3 linked regions of the Styela clava genome follow. The protein of the gene in region 3 purifies or fractionates together with the protein of the main gene of each other region. This does not show direct contact. Links are inferred from orthologs where the notes say so. Each region holds a gene or a part of one and is shown on either strand. Other genes may lie near its edges.

Region 1 (4,932 bases), on a different chromosome or scaffold from region 3:
TTGGTCCAGTAATCAAGGAGAAAAGCGATTTTTTGTTAAGGAGAAAAGCGAGAAAAACGAGGAACTTTTCTATACTTCACAATTGTAAAATTTTCGGTGCTTATTTTAATAATAGTTTCGTGAGTTGGCGCCTGTGAAATTGGGTATTTGTTTCAAACCATCATTCTGATTCATAGCATTCAACAATCTCTTTTTTAAAAGTACCGATAACGAATTTTAGCCTAGTCTATCACAGCTATTTCTACACTAATTTTTGATCACTGCAATTAAACTGAAACTTCTAGGAAGACGAAGTGATCATTAAATTATTTGATTTATATTTAAATGTCCAAAACACATCTGAAAACTAATGAACAAAATTCTGAAATGCGAAAATGAGGCATTGTTCACGACCACGCTTGGAAATCTGTTTGAGTGAGAAAAGCATCTGAGCGGATGCAAAAAGGGAGCATTGTTACGTCACTATTTGCATCTTGCTGATTGGCCAATGTCACGAAGTAAACAAGGAAATTGATGCTTGAGGAAACATCCATTGAATACCGAATGGACCTTCCCCCGAGCATCGACTTCCTTGTATACTTCGTGACATTGACCAATCAGCAAGCTGCAAAACGTGACGTAACAATGCTCCCTTTTCGCATCTGCTCGGACACTGTTCTCACTCGAACAGATTTTTGAGCGTGGTCGTAAACATTACCTCGTTTTCGCGTTTTTGAACTATATTCGTTAGTTTTTAGTTGTGTTTCGGAAACTTAAATATAAATCAGATGAACAGATTGTTGTATGCAAACACATACCCCATTTTACAGGCGCCAACTCGCAAAAGCACTCCTAAAATAGCCCCGAAAATTTTGCAATGGTGAAGTATAGGAAAAAATTTGCGGGTGTCAAAGGTCGAGAAAAGGCCCATTAACTAACAGGAATTATTAGATGTGTACCGACTACCGGTATAAAAGTATTCCTCGAAAGATATCGTCAAGCTGATTATAGTCAGAGTCACCTAATGCCAAATTGCCCAATCAGAATTGTCAAGTTGGATGAATGAAAATGTGGATAGACCTAGTTCACTCTATAGTAGTGATATGATAGCATAAAAGTCATATTGGGGATGGCTAAATAGGTTGATGGGTGTCAAATTAGGAATGACAAAATACTGAAATAGGGTCGATGAGTCAAAATCTCAATGGTTGCAAAAGGGATGGCGAACTACGTTCGATGCGTTTCAAAATAGAGATGGCAAAATGCGGGTAGCCCAAACTGCTGGCAGATGCATGGACTTTGCAGCTTTGGTATGCAGAAAGACGTACCGGTACCGTACGGTTTTGTAGTTGAACTGTGAACGAACAACCCATACCGGTACCGGTACCAGTAGTTTTGCACTTTCACTAAATTTTATCGCTTCAGTTGTAACCTTTCAAGAATTTAGAGACATACGGTAGGCTACTCGTACCGTTATTATTTCCTTGTTAGACTTGCTTAAGGGTGCCGCTGCTCAATAACCAAATTTGGTTTCTTGTGGCTCCCCTCACCCTGAAATGCCTTTTTATTTATTTATTGCAATTTGTATATCAAGTGTGCATTTAGTATGGTGAGAAAATAAACTACTGATTACCGTGGGTTTACCGGTAATGCTATAATAAAATAGAGCTGTAGAGAGTGAAATGTCAATAGCAACAAAATATTTGGGCTGTTATCAGGACGAGAGGCTACGGTGTTGGTTATATGATAAAGTCGTCTCATCGGTTTTTCTCTCTGAATTTTAACTTCTAGCTTTCTTTATCACGATCTTTGTTCCTGGAAAGACATCATGATTATTGCTTTTTTGTGCAGCAGTAGGTAGCCTAGTTCAGGAAATTTGTATTTTACAATTTGGGTCTCTTATATTGCAGTGTGTTGATATTTAAACCTTAAACATGTCTCGGCAAGGAACATATTCATATGTGGAAGCATTTATTCAAAAAACTATTCCTAAAATAAAAGAGCGAGATTTGAAAACTTTGAAGTCATCTTTGAGAAACAAGCCTATTATGTTGGTAGGAGAACAAAAGAGAGCTAAAAAGAGAAAACGTGAAAAACAGAATAAGAGAAGAATAAAGAATCGCATATTGGCGAAACCTACAAATTCAAACTATCAAGATTATGAAAAACTGCGTATTTTATGGATGGAATACATCACAGATTTACTCTCGGATTATCAGACATTAAAACCAGGAGAAACCAAACCATCTTTGGATAACAAAAACGCACAGGAAGTTTTGTTGAAAGCAGATTATCATGGAGCAGATCTGTCTGTGACAGGTTCACCTTGTAAATCTCATTTGGGTTTGAGTGGAACAGTCCTTCAGGTGTGCCAATATATCTGTATTATTAACCTTTTTTATTAACTCATTTTGTCCTTGTTTTGAAGTGCACTGGCACAATATGTGATTTCATCATATATCAATGGTATTTACAGATTCAATACTAATTGGTGATTGCACTCTACACATGCAACTTTTGACCTCATAATATATAGAATAAATTATTATGTTTCCTGATTATGATAACTGGATGACTTGGTAATTCGTTCAAAGGATTGTTCAGTGTGTTAAATATGCATACCAATATTTCCGTTTTTTTATTAAATTAAGTTATTTTATCTCATTTTTTCAGGAAACAAAAAACATATTTTTGATCTGCACCAAGGAGAACAAATTAGTGAGAATTCCCAAGAACAAGACTATATTCACATTGGAATATTCTGGATATCTTATAACAATATTCGGATCACAATTTTGCTTCAAGCCATCTCATAGACTCATGAAAAGATTTACGAAAAATCCACGCTTAAAAGAACTTTTGCGATGATATAACTTTTTTGCAATGCAGTTAAACTAAAATTGTTAAAGATCGGAGTTTAATGCTAAGTGATTTGTATTTCATCAAAAGCGTAATTTGTCTTCTGTTGCTTAGCAACCATCTTTTCAAAAATGTGGAAGGATATTAGTTATTAATTGCAGCACATAATTGTTAATTTCACTCAGTGTTGCATATAGATATCTTTATATCGTTTTAATGTTAAGGCCTTTTCAATTCACAATAGGTTCTCCAATACTGCTTCTCCATCTTCGAGGCTAGATAAATCTTTGTCACCGATCACCGCATATATGATTAGTTTTAATACGGGAAAATTGTGAACAAAGTGTATCAACAAAGTGACTCGCACAGACCATTTATTTTTACACAATTTTATGCGAACTCAATTATTATTAACACCCTACTTGGCCTACTAGACGTCGTTCTGTTAACTTATTCCATACTTCACTGCCTTAAATGGACCTTAGTTACTGCCTCTGGTTCAGAGGCTTATTAATAGGTAATCAACGTAGTGCAATCTTCACAGGAAATAGGTTTGTTTAAAAACAATACTACAGTATAAATTCTGAATGAATAACCATTTACAGTCTTTGCGATTAATTAAAACTCTGGAAATACAACACTCTCCCATTCAAGAACCATCGACATTCGACACCTGTGTATTTCTATTTATATCATTGAAATTTATATGGTGTTCGTTCAACTCTTACATTTTACTCAAAGAGAAAACAAGTGAAATATTATTTTGTAAGACGTGGTAACTAAATATAAGGACAATGAACTGGCAACTTGCATTTACTGACATTGCCACCCTCTCACATCCAACTCTATTATCATTTTTCTTGTAGTTTAGTGTTACTATATTAAATATGAATATATAGATCATGGAATGCATCAGAAGGTTAACAAGGGTGAAACTCCATCAATTCTCAGCTTGTAAGTCAAAATTTTTCTCGAGAATTTGTTTCAATCATTCAATTTTCAAATACAGGCATTTATCGAAAGTATATTTTTCAGCACCAACATTAAAAATCCCAAGTTGCTGTGCATCGACTGGTGGTAAAAGTAACACAAGGAATAAGAAACAAATAAATAGGAAAAGATATAGAGGAATTAAAGTTGACGATGGTGGGTTCTTGTAGAGATTAACCTTTTTTCATTCCAAATTTCTACTCCCCCTTTTGAGATGTTGGGCAATTCCAGCGTTACTTTCGTTACATCTGAGCAAATTTTCAAATTTCAAACTGACTTAACCTAAAACGTATTAGAAGTATGCAAGTCACATTGTTACTAGTTGTAGATGGCGTTAGGGGTGTAACATAGACACCATAGAGGTGGCGATACTATGGACTACTTTAACATAGGAATGTCCCGAAACACCGTTACTTGCGTTACAGAAAGAGGACAAATGAGATAAGATATTAACACCAACTAACTACTTTTTGCCATGTCACTAGAGAATATAGTTCAATTGTAAAACCATAAAAAATTAGGTGAAAAACTTTTGTCTGAATAGCAAAATTTTCATTAGGAAGAAAAAATGGTCCGTTACTTACGTTACAAATTACAATCATGATTCGATTTTTGTTTTGATGGCAAATTTGATATTAAGTCAATATTTGACATTCAATTTCCGTGAGTTCAAATTTTTAAATAATAAATCCTTGACTAGATGATAAATTCTACAAATAAAATAGGCAATTCAAATTTCCAGCGTTACTTTCGTTACATCTGGGCAAATTTTTAAATTCAGACTGATTTAACCTAAAGCCAATTACAAGCATTCAAGTAATAGTGTTTCTAGTTGTATATGGCCTTGGACCTGTAACATAGACACCATAGATATGGAAATACTAGGGACTACTTTCACATAGAAGACCCATTAAAACTGATACTTGTTTTGAAAATGAACAGAAGCTTTTTAGTGGAATTTTGATGTGGCACATATCTCAAGATATTGTCACCAATCAACAGCTTTTTCCCATGTCAATGGAGAATATATTTAGGTTGTAAAATATTATAAAATTAGGTGAATATTGTTGCTTTACATCAAAGTAAATGACTAACATCTTCCCA
Region 2 (5,216 bases), on a different chromosome or scaffold from region 3:
TCAGGCCTGAAACGTTTACTCAAAAGTCAACACATTCCATGTCAATATACATTTAATGTGACTTCTGATGCTGCATGTTGTCGCTGCGGGCCTTGAACGGTTGCTCACATGCAGCCCAAGTTGAAATCTACGATACTCATCACCCTTTTTCGTTTAGGCATCTCCGTAGTATTTTAAAACTCTATCGCTTTGTGATGTCACAATATATGTTCCAGAATCCCCATGTTTTGTCACAATGTCTGTCTGGTAATTTTCTTACATAACATAGACATGCGCTGGGCCCGCGTTGTCAAACGTATTGGGAATTTTTTGCCAAATTTGGCCATAAAATAGTTTGAAGTCTAGTAACAATAGTAAGCTTAATCTTAGAATAATAGATTTTTCTGGGAGCCATATGCCGTCACCAAAAGAGCCATATATGGCTCGCGAGCCATGGGTTCCCGACCCCTGCTCTATACTTTGATTTCATTCAGTATTAATAAACAATTAAGGGAAATGATTATCCTGTTATTTACCTGTAGGACAGCTCTATCACTTGTGTGCTGTGATACCGCCTGTAGCATCGCTTTCATTTCTTTGGCAGATGATTCTACTTTGTCAGCCACACAGATGGCTAAAATATATCAAGAAATAAGAATTGACACTTATCACCTGTAGAAGTGTGATAGGTATTTAAAAAAAAAGGGGGATTCATGAGAAAATTGTAAAGCCTAAATCATCTTGATTCTTGATTATCAATATTGCAATTTGATGTTGAATATAAAATTTTGATGTGGCGAACCAGTTAAAAAAATTAGTAACTACCATAAGAATTGTCAAGTCATTCAACCAGAAGTCAAATCCAGTTGATGGCCATAAAAGCAAACGATACCAAATACAGTAAGATCAAAATTTTTCAGTTTAAAATAATGAGGATAACTAAAATTGGTATATAATCTCAATTATTATTATAAATTATTTTTATGTCATTTTTTCCCATTTTACAAAATGAAATTAAAAAAAACATTACCATTGCTGCTACATATGGAGGTTCAAATATCCAATATTGAAATGGATTTTAAAACAAAATTTCAGAAAATTCAGTAGTAATCTCATCCATGGCTAGATTTTGTTTTAATTTAATCACCCAACTAAAATTGGCCGAATCAATAAATTCGGTAAGTTGAAGAACGAAACTTTCAAACGAATATTGCATGTGTGAATGGATGAGGATGACTGAAGAAACTAAACTATTTGCGGAGCAAAGAACCAAGGTTCCGATCAAATTCTTCTTTTTTTGTGAAATTTTGTACCTAGTGGACATAAACACTAGTGAGATGCTGCTGTGCAAATACCTAAAAAGACATGAACTGCTTCTATACATTGTACATGAATATTGAATATTACCTCTAGGAATTTCAACTTGGCTTTGTGATTCCGAATCAACCATATCTTTGTAATATTCATGACGAGAAGCTGAAAAATGATTGGTAAAAAATGAAATTATGCTTTGATGATTTATGTAATTTTATTAGTATACAAAATTTTATACCCATGACATGTATAGTCAGATTTAGTATTTGGTACAAGTACTGTGGTCGGAAATAAAAAAAAAAAATTCAAATCGAACTTAAATGATTGCATACGCTAAAGTTTTTTATTTCAAATTTTGTTATCAGGAGTCAGGAGCTGGAAAGTTTTGGTAACCTAAAGAAGACTCCATAACCCTGGTTGTTCAGTTGTTTTTGACTGCATATAATCAACAAAAGTCTCTGCATAATTTTTGCCAAATATGACATATTAAATTCTATGAACTATGAAGTGCTTTCTCTCATCTAGGTTTGGAGAAATTTTACAGGATTTAGCAAAAATAATGAAAACCGGCAAATTTGTTGATATCTGATAAAGGTTGTCCAGAAAAAAATTGAGAATTCGAAAAACAAATTGATTTAACAAATTTAACAACTTATCAGTATCTCAAGTTATATTTAATTTCTAGACAACATACAATCTTTCTTCTTGTTGACTACCACATTCTGTGGCTGATATCTCATTCGTTTCTTCCAGCGAACGATACGATTAGTAACAGAATCTTGTTGCTGCTCAGAACCAGCTTTACCGACTTTGGCAGATGCATCTGTTGAAAAATTTGGTCAAAATATTCAAAAGCAAGTACGAAACAACCAATGAAATTGAAAATGTTTGGCAGTTTGTCGATCATGCTGCTCATCGTCAAGTCAAGCTGAGTTGAATTACCTTTTAGCTGTGAGTTTTATGATATTAATTAAGGTTGAAATTTTATATTAAACCATTGCAGCAGATGACTGATGAGGTATTTAAAAGAATTAGAATAACTCATTGAAAATGATATCCTGATGTAACCTCTCATATTAATTCTAATTATAAAGTTCAAGAACATCGTAGTTAGGTAGATAATCTCACACTACCATAGAATCATGTTAACTAGCTTCTTACTTTGAGATATACTAGCAGCTTTGCTATTACTCTGTTTTGCCTCCATTTTTCAATCCTACGAGTTTAATGAACTGAAAGAAAAGATGACTGGTTTAAATATCAATTATTAAGCAAAGATATTCTACCAGAAAAGAAAGTTCAAAATACAGAAATGTAGCTACGGATCCGAAGAAAAAGAACCGTTCTTGATCCAAGACATTATTGAGGCTATTATCAAAAATTTTATAGTCAGGAAATGGGTATAGAGAAGTGTTTATAACATATGGTGTGTTTATAACGACTAAGCCACAGCACCAAATCGTCAATTTAGAACATGAAAAGTGTTTCATACTTCAGTAAATTTAAACATTTGGATGTTTTTTGCAGCTATTATTCAGAAATGTCATGTAAATTTGAAAATATTACTTACCGTTTCACCATGTAAAATTTTTCCTTTGAATTATCGATGAGTCTTGAATAAAATAGCAAGTACCGGTATGTAAAACATGATCAAAAAAGGAGTTTCCGAAAACCTAATTATCAATTTTAGTATAGTGCTCTAACCTTTATAAAAACAAGAAAGAATCATACATAATACATTCAAGCACAAAAAAATTAGCTACTGTGAAATTCGAAATAAGGATCGAGCAAAATGATAGGACTAAGAACTATCTATGATACCCGTTTCACTACGCATTTTGTTCAATTTGATACGAAATAAAAGTTCACGAGCAATCTAAATCTGTTTCACTCATATTACATCATTAATAACCTAATTAATAATCATACCATCATAGTAAAACCAAAGTCATTTTTCAGAAGTGTACTTTTTTTGAATTTCCGTCATCTTGGACCAGTGACCATCTTCTGGTCTAGGTTTCAAAACTGAACCCGATTTAGTTTTGATTTTAGGTAGTGCCTTATGTCCTTTATAAGGTTTGGCTGTACAGATATGCAAATTACAAAAATGGGGTTTCATTAACAACCCATAAGCTAATTAGGTTCTATTGTGCCAATATGTTACTGAAAAATAGCTGACTAAAGAATGGCTGGTTCTAAATATCTTAGAGATGGCTAGACCATGCCTTGCTAGACAACACGTCATAAAAATATCCCTTTGAGAAATCCAGGTACAGAATATGTGTTCACATTTGAAAGTCTAGTTTTTACAAATGGAGCATGATCATAGACTTCATAATACAGGTTGAATTTCAGATCAATTATATTTTTTTTTTTATTATTGCAAACATAACTACCGGTACTTGATAATGTTTTCAAATCAAATAACAAGATTATATCAAATAGCTGGAAATTGTAATTTCACTTCAATATTCATAATCATCCATGCTTTGCTGTGGCAACAAAAATGATTGAAGTTTGTAGCAACATTTTATTACAAAGTGTAAAGTAATATCAGTTATATAAACAGCATAAATAGAAATGGAGCAACTAAGAATTTTCCAACATTCACCATGGAACTCATTTCTCAAAAACTCGGCAAAAAATTTATTTGTTAATAGGAGGCATCCAAATTTAAGTAAAAATAGTACTTCAATTTTAACAAAATAATAATTTATAGGAGCTGCTTGAAGGATAGTACCTATGGGAAGAATATAGAAGAAACAGTCTATGTTTTTACTGTGCCTGCTTGATAGAGATACATCAGTTAAACATTACGGATACTTGTTCATTACAAACTCAAACAATTAAAATTCAACAATATCAATTGGGTAACGTCAAACCTCGTCAATTACCTATACATAAATATGTATATTAGGCAATTTAATATGTTATTATTATCCAGACAAGTTATTTTGGAATGCATATATAAAAGTATGTAGCAATCCGTCTGCATCTTGAAAGTACAACCCTGTTATAAACTATTTTGCATACTAGTCAAATTAATGGATATTAACATTAAGTAATACCTAATAGTTAAATAGGTATTAAGTATATTAGCTTCACAGGATTAAGATTACTGGTTTGCACAACTCTCACTGACCATGGTTGAATAATTTATGACAACCAATTCAAAACCATAAACTTCAGTCTCCAATTACAGTATTTCACACACCAGAGTGATAAAAAGCCTGTGACAAAGTGATTGGCTATATATTGTCTTTTTCAAGCAGCAAGAGACAGGTAAGGGGGCAAATGTATATATTACTTGGCGGAAGACAATATACATCACACAATTAATCTGGAAATGGAAATGTCCATAGGTAATTGGCATTCAAAACAAATTGTTCACCAGTCAAATATTGAATACTTCATATTCTCAACTAGCTTCATCAACACGCCTTCAATAATTCAACAACGATTATAATATGGCCGCCTATAACCCTTAACACTCATTGCAGTGTGAGTGAACGTATAGAATAGCCTAGATTAAATTTGATTCTGTTTCAAATATTTTCTGCACCAGAGTCCAGAACAAAATTTAGTTTAATTATAATGAAATAGAACTTGTCTCATGGCCTACTTCGAACAAATTCAATCTATGATATTGATTCCCATTTCAATATTTCTAAACACATATTTGTGTAAAATCTACACGTTACAAAAATCATCTACATGCATTATAATTATGTCAGAAAAACTACAAGATCAGATATTGCTCATCACTGTAACACAAGTCCAACTTTTTCAGATTCTATCACAGGGCATTTATAATTGAAAAGGTAATAATTGAGATTCCCATCACCCATACCGAATTTGAGTTCCTTCAAAAATTGTCGATTATCCATCAAATCTAAAGCGTTGAACACATCATAGCCTTGCTG
Region 3 (3,885 bases):
GTAATATTGAATTAAGGTTAATCTTGCAGACTAAAGTTATATCCCATGTTTATTTTTCCAGTGGTACGTTCAAGCGGCTTGTGCAACAGAAGGAAATGGATTGTATGAAGGATTGGACTGGTTATCGTCTGAACTCCAGAAAAAAAGTTGAACTTGACGGACCAGTAATATCTACAGACCTGTTCTATCTCGAAAGCTTATGGCTCTTGGTTCAAAAAAAATAACTGCAATATCTTATTTGTCACATGTAGTAACTAAAGATTGTTTTTGTGATGTTCAATATTATAAAAACAATCTAACCAAATAGGCAATTCAACTATTTATGAGGTTGTATAGTTGTCTATAGTAAAAACCTTAACTGCTGCAGATTTATGTATATCATTTATGTTTCAGTCAACGTTTGTAAGAATAGGAAGCTGTGTATATACTTTACTGTTGGCTGTTTTGTGTACACATAGTTTGCTGATAGAAGATAAATAGAGTTACTTATTTTCATTCCAAGAATTTTTGTAGCCATGCCTGGAGGTTGAAATCGGGATGAGTCCATCTTGCCTGTAGATTACACTTCTGATGGTTAAACTTAAAATTTGAATGTCGGACTCTCCATTTTTCTCTGTGCCAAAAAATTTAATTCAACATTGCAATTAATAATGATTATCTATCTTTTTGATAAATAGGACAAAAATTTGGAAACACATCACAGAAAATTTAAAATTATCTAATTTGTAATTCCTTCGTGAAGGGTGATGCTCTTCCTTTAAGTTATTGAAATGTCTGTTGGAAGTTTGCACTTCCTTCTGTGCAGATTTTCATGTTTTTAGATTTTGCTTTGCTGATTTGTAGAATATATTAATAGGTGGGTGTTGCTATTGTATGTTTCCTTAAAATTGTGTGAAAATATTATAATACAATGGTCTAACTGTATTCTAGTTGTATTTCAGGAGTGCTTGGGGTCTTTTGAACATAGGGTTTATGGAAATAGGGATGTCCAAAACTGATTTGTGTTGCAATTGTATTTCGGTAGCCAATGAGAGTGTCCAAAACAAAACTCATAGAATTTGTTATAATGGATGCATACGAAATTCCCAGATTTCGAGAAAAATTTCAAATATCAAGTATTTGAGATCTGATAGTCTGACAGAATTTATAGACTTTATTTATTCATGACAAAAAAGTTTATTCGATAAATACCAATTAATTAACAGCGCTTTCTGCAAAATTTTCCTGCAGATTTAGTTATGTTCAATTTTATATTGGTCTCTGCTGGCTAGATAAAACCTCAAGCTTTTCAATCGCTCCATATTGTCAGATAAGATTTTGACCTCCCAAAAACAGTCATCCCCCAGGGTGACTTCCTTCCCGAAGCAATTTTTCGAATAATCAGAATCTCCTTATTTTTATCACCGGCCGTATGCGTATGGTATTTTGTTGGCTCACAACTGCCAATACAAATTTGTCTGGAAGCATCATGACAGTACTTGCTAGTGGATAAGACTGCGGCTTGACTAGGTCTGACCTGTAACACAGGGAGCTTTATAATACCCCAAAACAGATACTGTAAATTTGAATTAAATATATTTTCAGTATTATAATTCCAATTTAGCCTTCTTTGCTTCATCATCACAAATTTCCGCTTGCCTTTTGAGCATATTAGAATCACTACTTTCAATTTTTTGTATAAAAACTGCACCTTTGGCAGTTTTCCTTGCAAAACTGTGAACCACGACACATCGACAGTTATGAGACACCAGATGTGGCACCATGCTCTCTTTCATTGTAAACAAAATTCCGAGATTTGCTACGTCATATGGTCCCCTTAATTCCAGTGGATGCAAAGATTTACTCGACATTATTATATTTTTTGACTTGCAGCATTCAACCAATCTCAGAGCACATGTGGTTGTTAGCTTTCGCATTGTTGGGTCACGAACCATTGGTGAGTAGTTAAATTCAAAATGAATGCCGCGTGCGATTGCTGCACGAACTTGGTGTGTCCTTAGAAAGAATGAAAGTTTTTCTGCACCATCAAATGTTATAATATCAATATTAAGTTGGGTACATGCAGAAAGAAATAATTTTTCAGTCTTTGGTTCTACCGCAATGATATCGAATCCCCCATGAGTTATGACATCTCGAACAGTAATCTGGTCGTCTACTTCGCTCAGTTCAATCGTGATTCTCGATAACTGCGTTATTCCATCAAAATTTACTTTGTCTGGTGGGGTAGGAAGTTGCAATCTTTTCTTTTTTCCACCTCGTTTCAAAGATCCTGATGGAATATATTTTGAAAATGCTAAAACTGAATAACCCAGCTCTTTAAATGTAGTCAAAACAGAATCCATATGTTTTTGATTTTCATCATAAGGCACATTCAAATCATAGAAGCAACCCTTTGGTGGTATTGGTAAATGAGACATTATGATTTTCATGTAATGTAATATCTGGCTCTTGTAAACAAAACAAAAAATCATTCATTATACTTCAATGATCGAAACAAATAATGAAATATGGGATTCTCATGGATCAAAACATTGATATTTTAAAAAGATTTGCCATATCCAAACAAGTATTGAAATCTTGGAGATGTTACTACTGGGGTAGACAGAAAAGATACAACCATGACGGACATAAACAGAATTCTCCCTATGGCAACTTATTTCCAGACATCAATTTCTACTTTCTATCCAAGTAACTGTTTTTCACTCATTACACAAATGTGCAATTTGAACATATTTTTATGCATCTGTCATTTAATTCGGTAGTCCGTATTCTCACATAATGTATACATATCCCAACACTTCAACTAAATATTTTGGTAAATATCAACATAAGAATTTCTATAGAATGTGTTTTATATATTAGTCTCAATGTTCCATTTTGAGCATTCAATAATGTCGCAAGACAATCCTATCAACTCATAGTAAAGATATTTCAAAACCTATAATGTTATATGTATGAGTTGGCACTTCCAAATAGCTTTCCTCAATATAAAGAAATGCAAAACCGTACATTCCTATATGTGAAAAAATATTTATCTAACACAACTTTCACACCATTCATTCATTTTGATGATAAATTAGTGGAAAAGTAAACGATGTATTATTGAACATAAAAATTCATTATTCATCATCATTCAGTAATTCACACCTAGAAAATTGTGAATGGCTTAGAGGTAAAAAATCCAGGTCACTCAGAACATATTCTAGAAAGACCACAACTTTTGTGCAAAGCATCACAGATTACTAAAACTTTGGGCGCTCCAGGAGTATGTGTAACAAAATATAGAGGCAACTAATTTTGTTCGCCTATTTTACATCAAGTTGTGTGAAGAGACTGAAACCTATGGGCAGGGGGCACTCACTTGGCTAACACAGACAGTCCCTTAACTTGTAATAGAACCAAATTAAGGAAAATCGGAATAAAATTATGGCCTAGCCCTAACCTGGTACACATACTGCGGGAGTACCTACTTTGATTATACACAAACAGAAGTTTGGGTAATAAATAAATTTTCCCTATTTTCGTATAAGTAATAGAGATATTATGCATTATGTTTTTTGGTCACCTTTATATAACATGTCCAACTATGATTTCAACATGATCGACCATCCTTGACTGTATATACATTAGAATAGCTTGTGAATGTAAACAAAATACAAGCGATCACTTTTTAGTCGCTTTTCTTATGAGTGCCAATCTTTGTTTATGAGCTTCTGTGGAAACTGTTTTCTTAAAAGGTTTTATTTCATCTGAACCATATCCTAAAACATCAATATTCCAATGATTTTCTAAATGGAATTTCATGTCTTTGACTTCCAAAACACTAGAGTTTCTATGCCTAGCAAGGTCACATGCTGATGCAACAACACTTTCTATAAAATCATC

What was found.
Region 1: the proteins of ribonuclease P protein subunit p30-like (region 3) and ribonuclease P protein subunit p29-like purify together in Homo sapiens (affinity purification with mass spectrometry; 4 studies listed by BioGRID and IntAct, counting the BioPlex papers as one, with this or other methods). This does not show direct contact. The link is inferred for Styela clava from reciprocal best matches to the Homo sapiens genes RPP30 and POP4.
Region 2: the proteins of ribonuclease P protein subunit p30-like (region 3) and ribonucleases P/MRP protein subunit POP1-like purify together in Homo sapiens (affinity purification with mass spectrometry; 5 studies listed by BioGRID and IntAct, counting the BioPlex papers as one, with this or other methods). This does not show direct contact. The link is inferred for Styela clava from reciprocal best matches to the Homo sapiens genes RPP30 and POP1.

What each region holds. Positions count from the first base shown.
Region 1 is NC_135262.1:12,184,565-12,189,496, forward strand, and holds ribonuclease P protein subunit p29-like, read left to right. Parts: upstream 1-1,819; 5' UTR 1,820-1,913; coding exon 1,914-2,345; intron 2,346-2,652; coding exon 2,653-2,847; 3' UTR 2,848-3,704; downstream 3,705-4,932. Other genes in the region: large ribosomal subunit protein bL27m-like, read left to right, coding at 3,741-3,792, 3,874-3,984. UniProt on the Homo sapiens protein: Component of ribonuclease P, a ribonucleoprotein complex that generates mature tRNA molecules by cleaving their 5'-ends.
Region 2 is NC_135257.1:9,024,981-9,030,196, reverse strand, and holds the start of ribonucleases P/MRP protein subunit POP1-like, read right to left. Parts: upstream 3,004-5,216; 5' UTR 2,864-3,003; intron 2,526-2,863; 5' UTR 2,501-2,525; coding exon 2,455-2,500; intron 2,117-2,454; coding exon 1,988-2,116; intron 1,456-1,987; coding exon 1,387-1,455; intron 614-1,386; coding exon 516-613; intron 1-515. Other genes in the region: glycylpeptide N-tetradecanoyltransferase 2-like, read right to left, coding at 5,055-5,216. UniProt on the Homo sapiens protein: Component of ribonuclease P, a ribonucleoprotein complex that generates mature tRNA molecules by cleaving their 5'-ends. Also a component of the MRP ribonuclease complex, which cleaves pre-rRNA sequences.
Region 3 is NC_135258.1:7,655,958-7,659,842, reverse strand, and holds ribonuclease P protein subunit p30-like, read right to left. Parts: upstream 2,472-3,885; coding exon 1,587-2,471; 3' UTR 1,472-1,586; downstream 1-1,471. Other genes in the region: ADP-ribosylation factor 4-like, read left to right, coding at 62-151; uncharacterized protein LOC120339507, read right to left, coding at 3,664-3,885. UniProt on the Homo sapiens protein: Component of ribonuclease P, a ribonucleoprotein complex that generates mature tRNA molecules by cleaving their 5'-ends. Also a component of the MRP ribonuclease complex, which cleaves pre-rRNA sequences.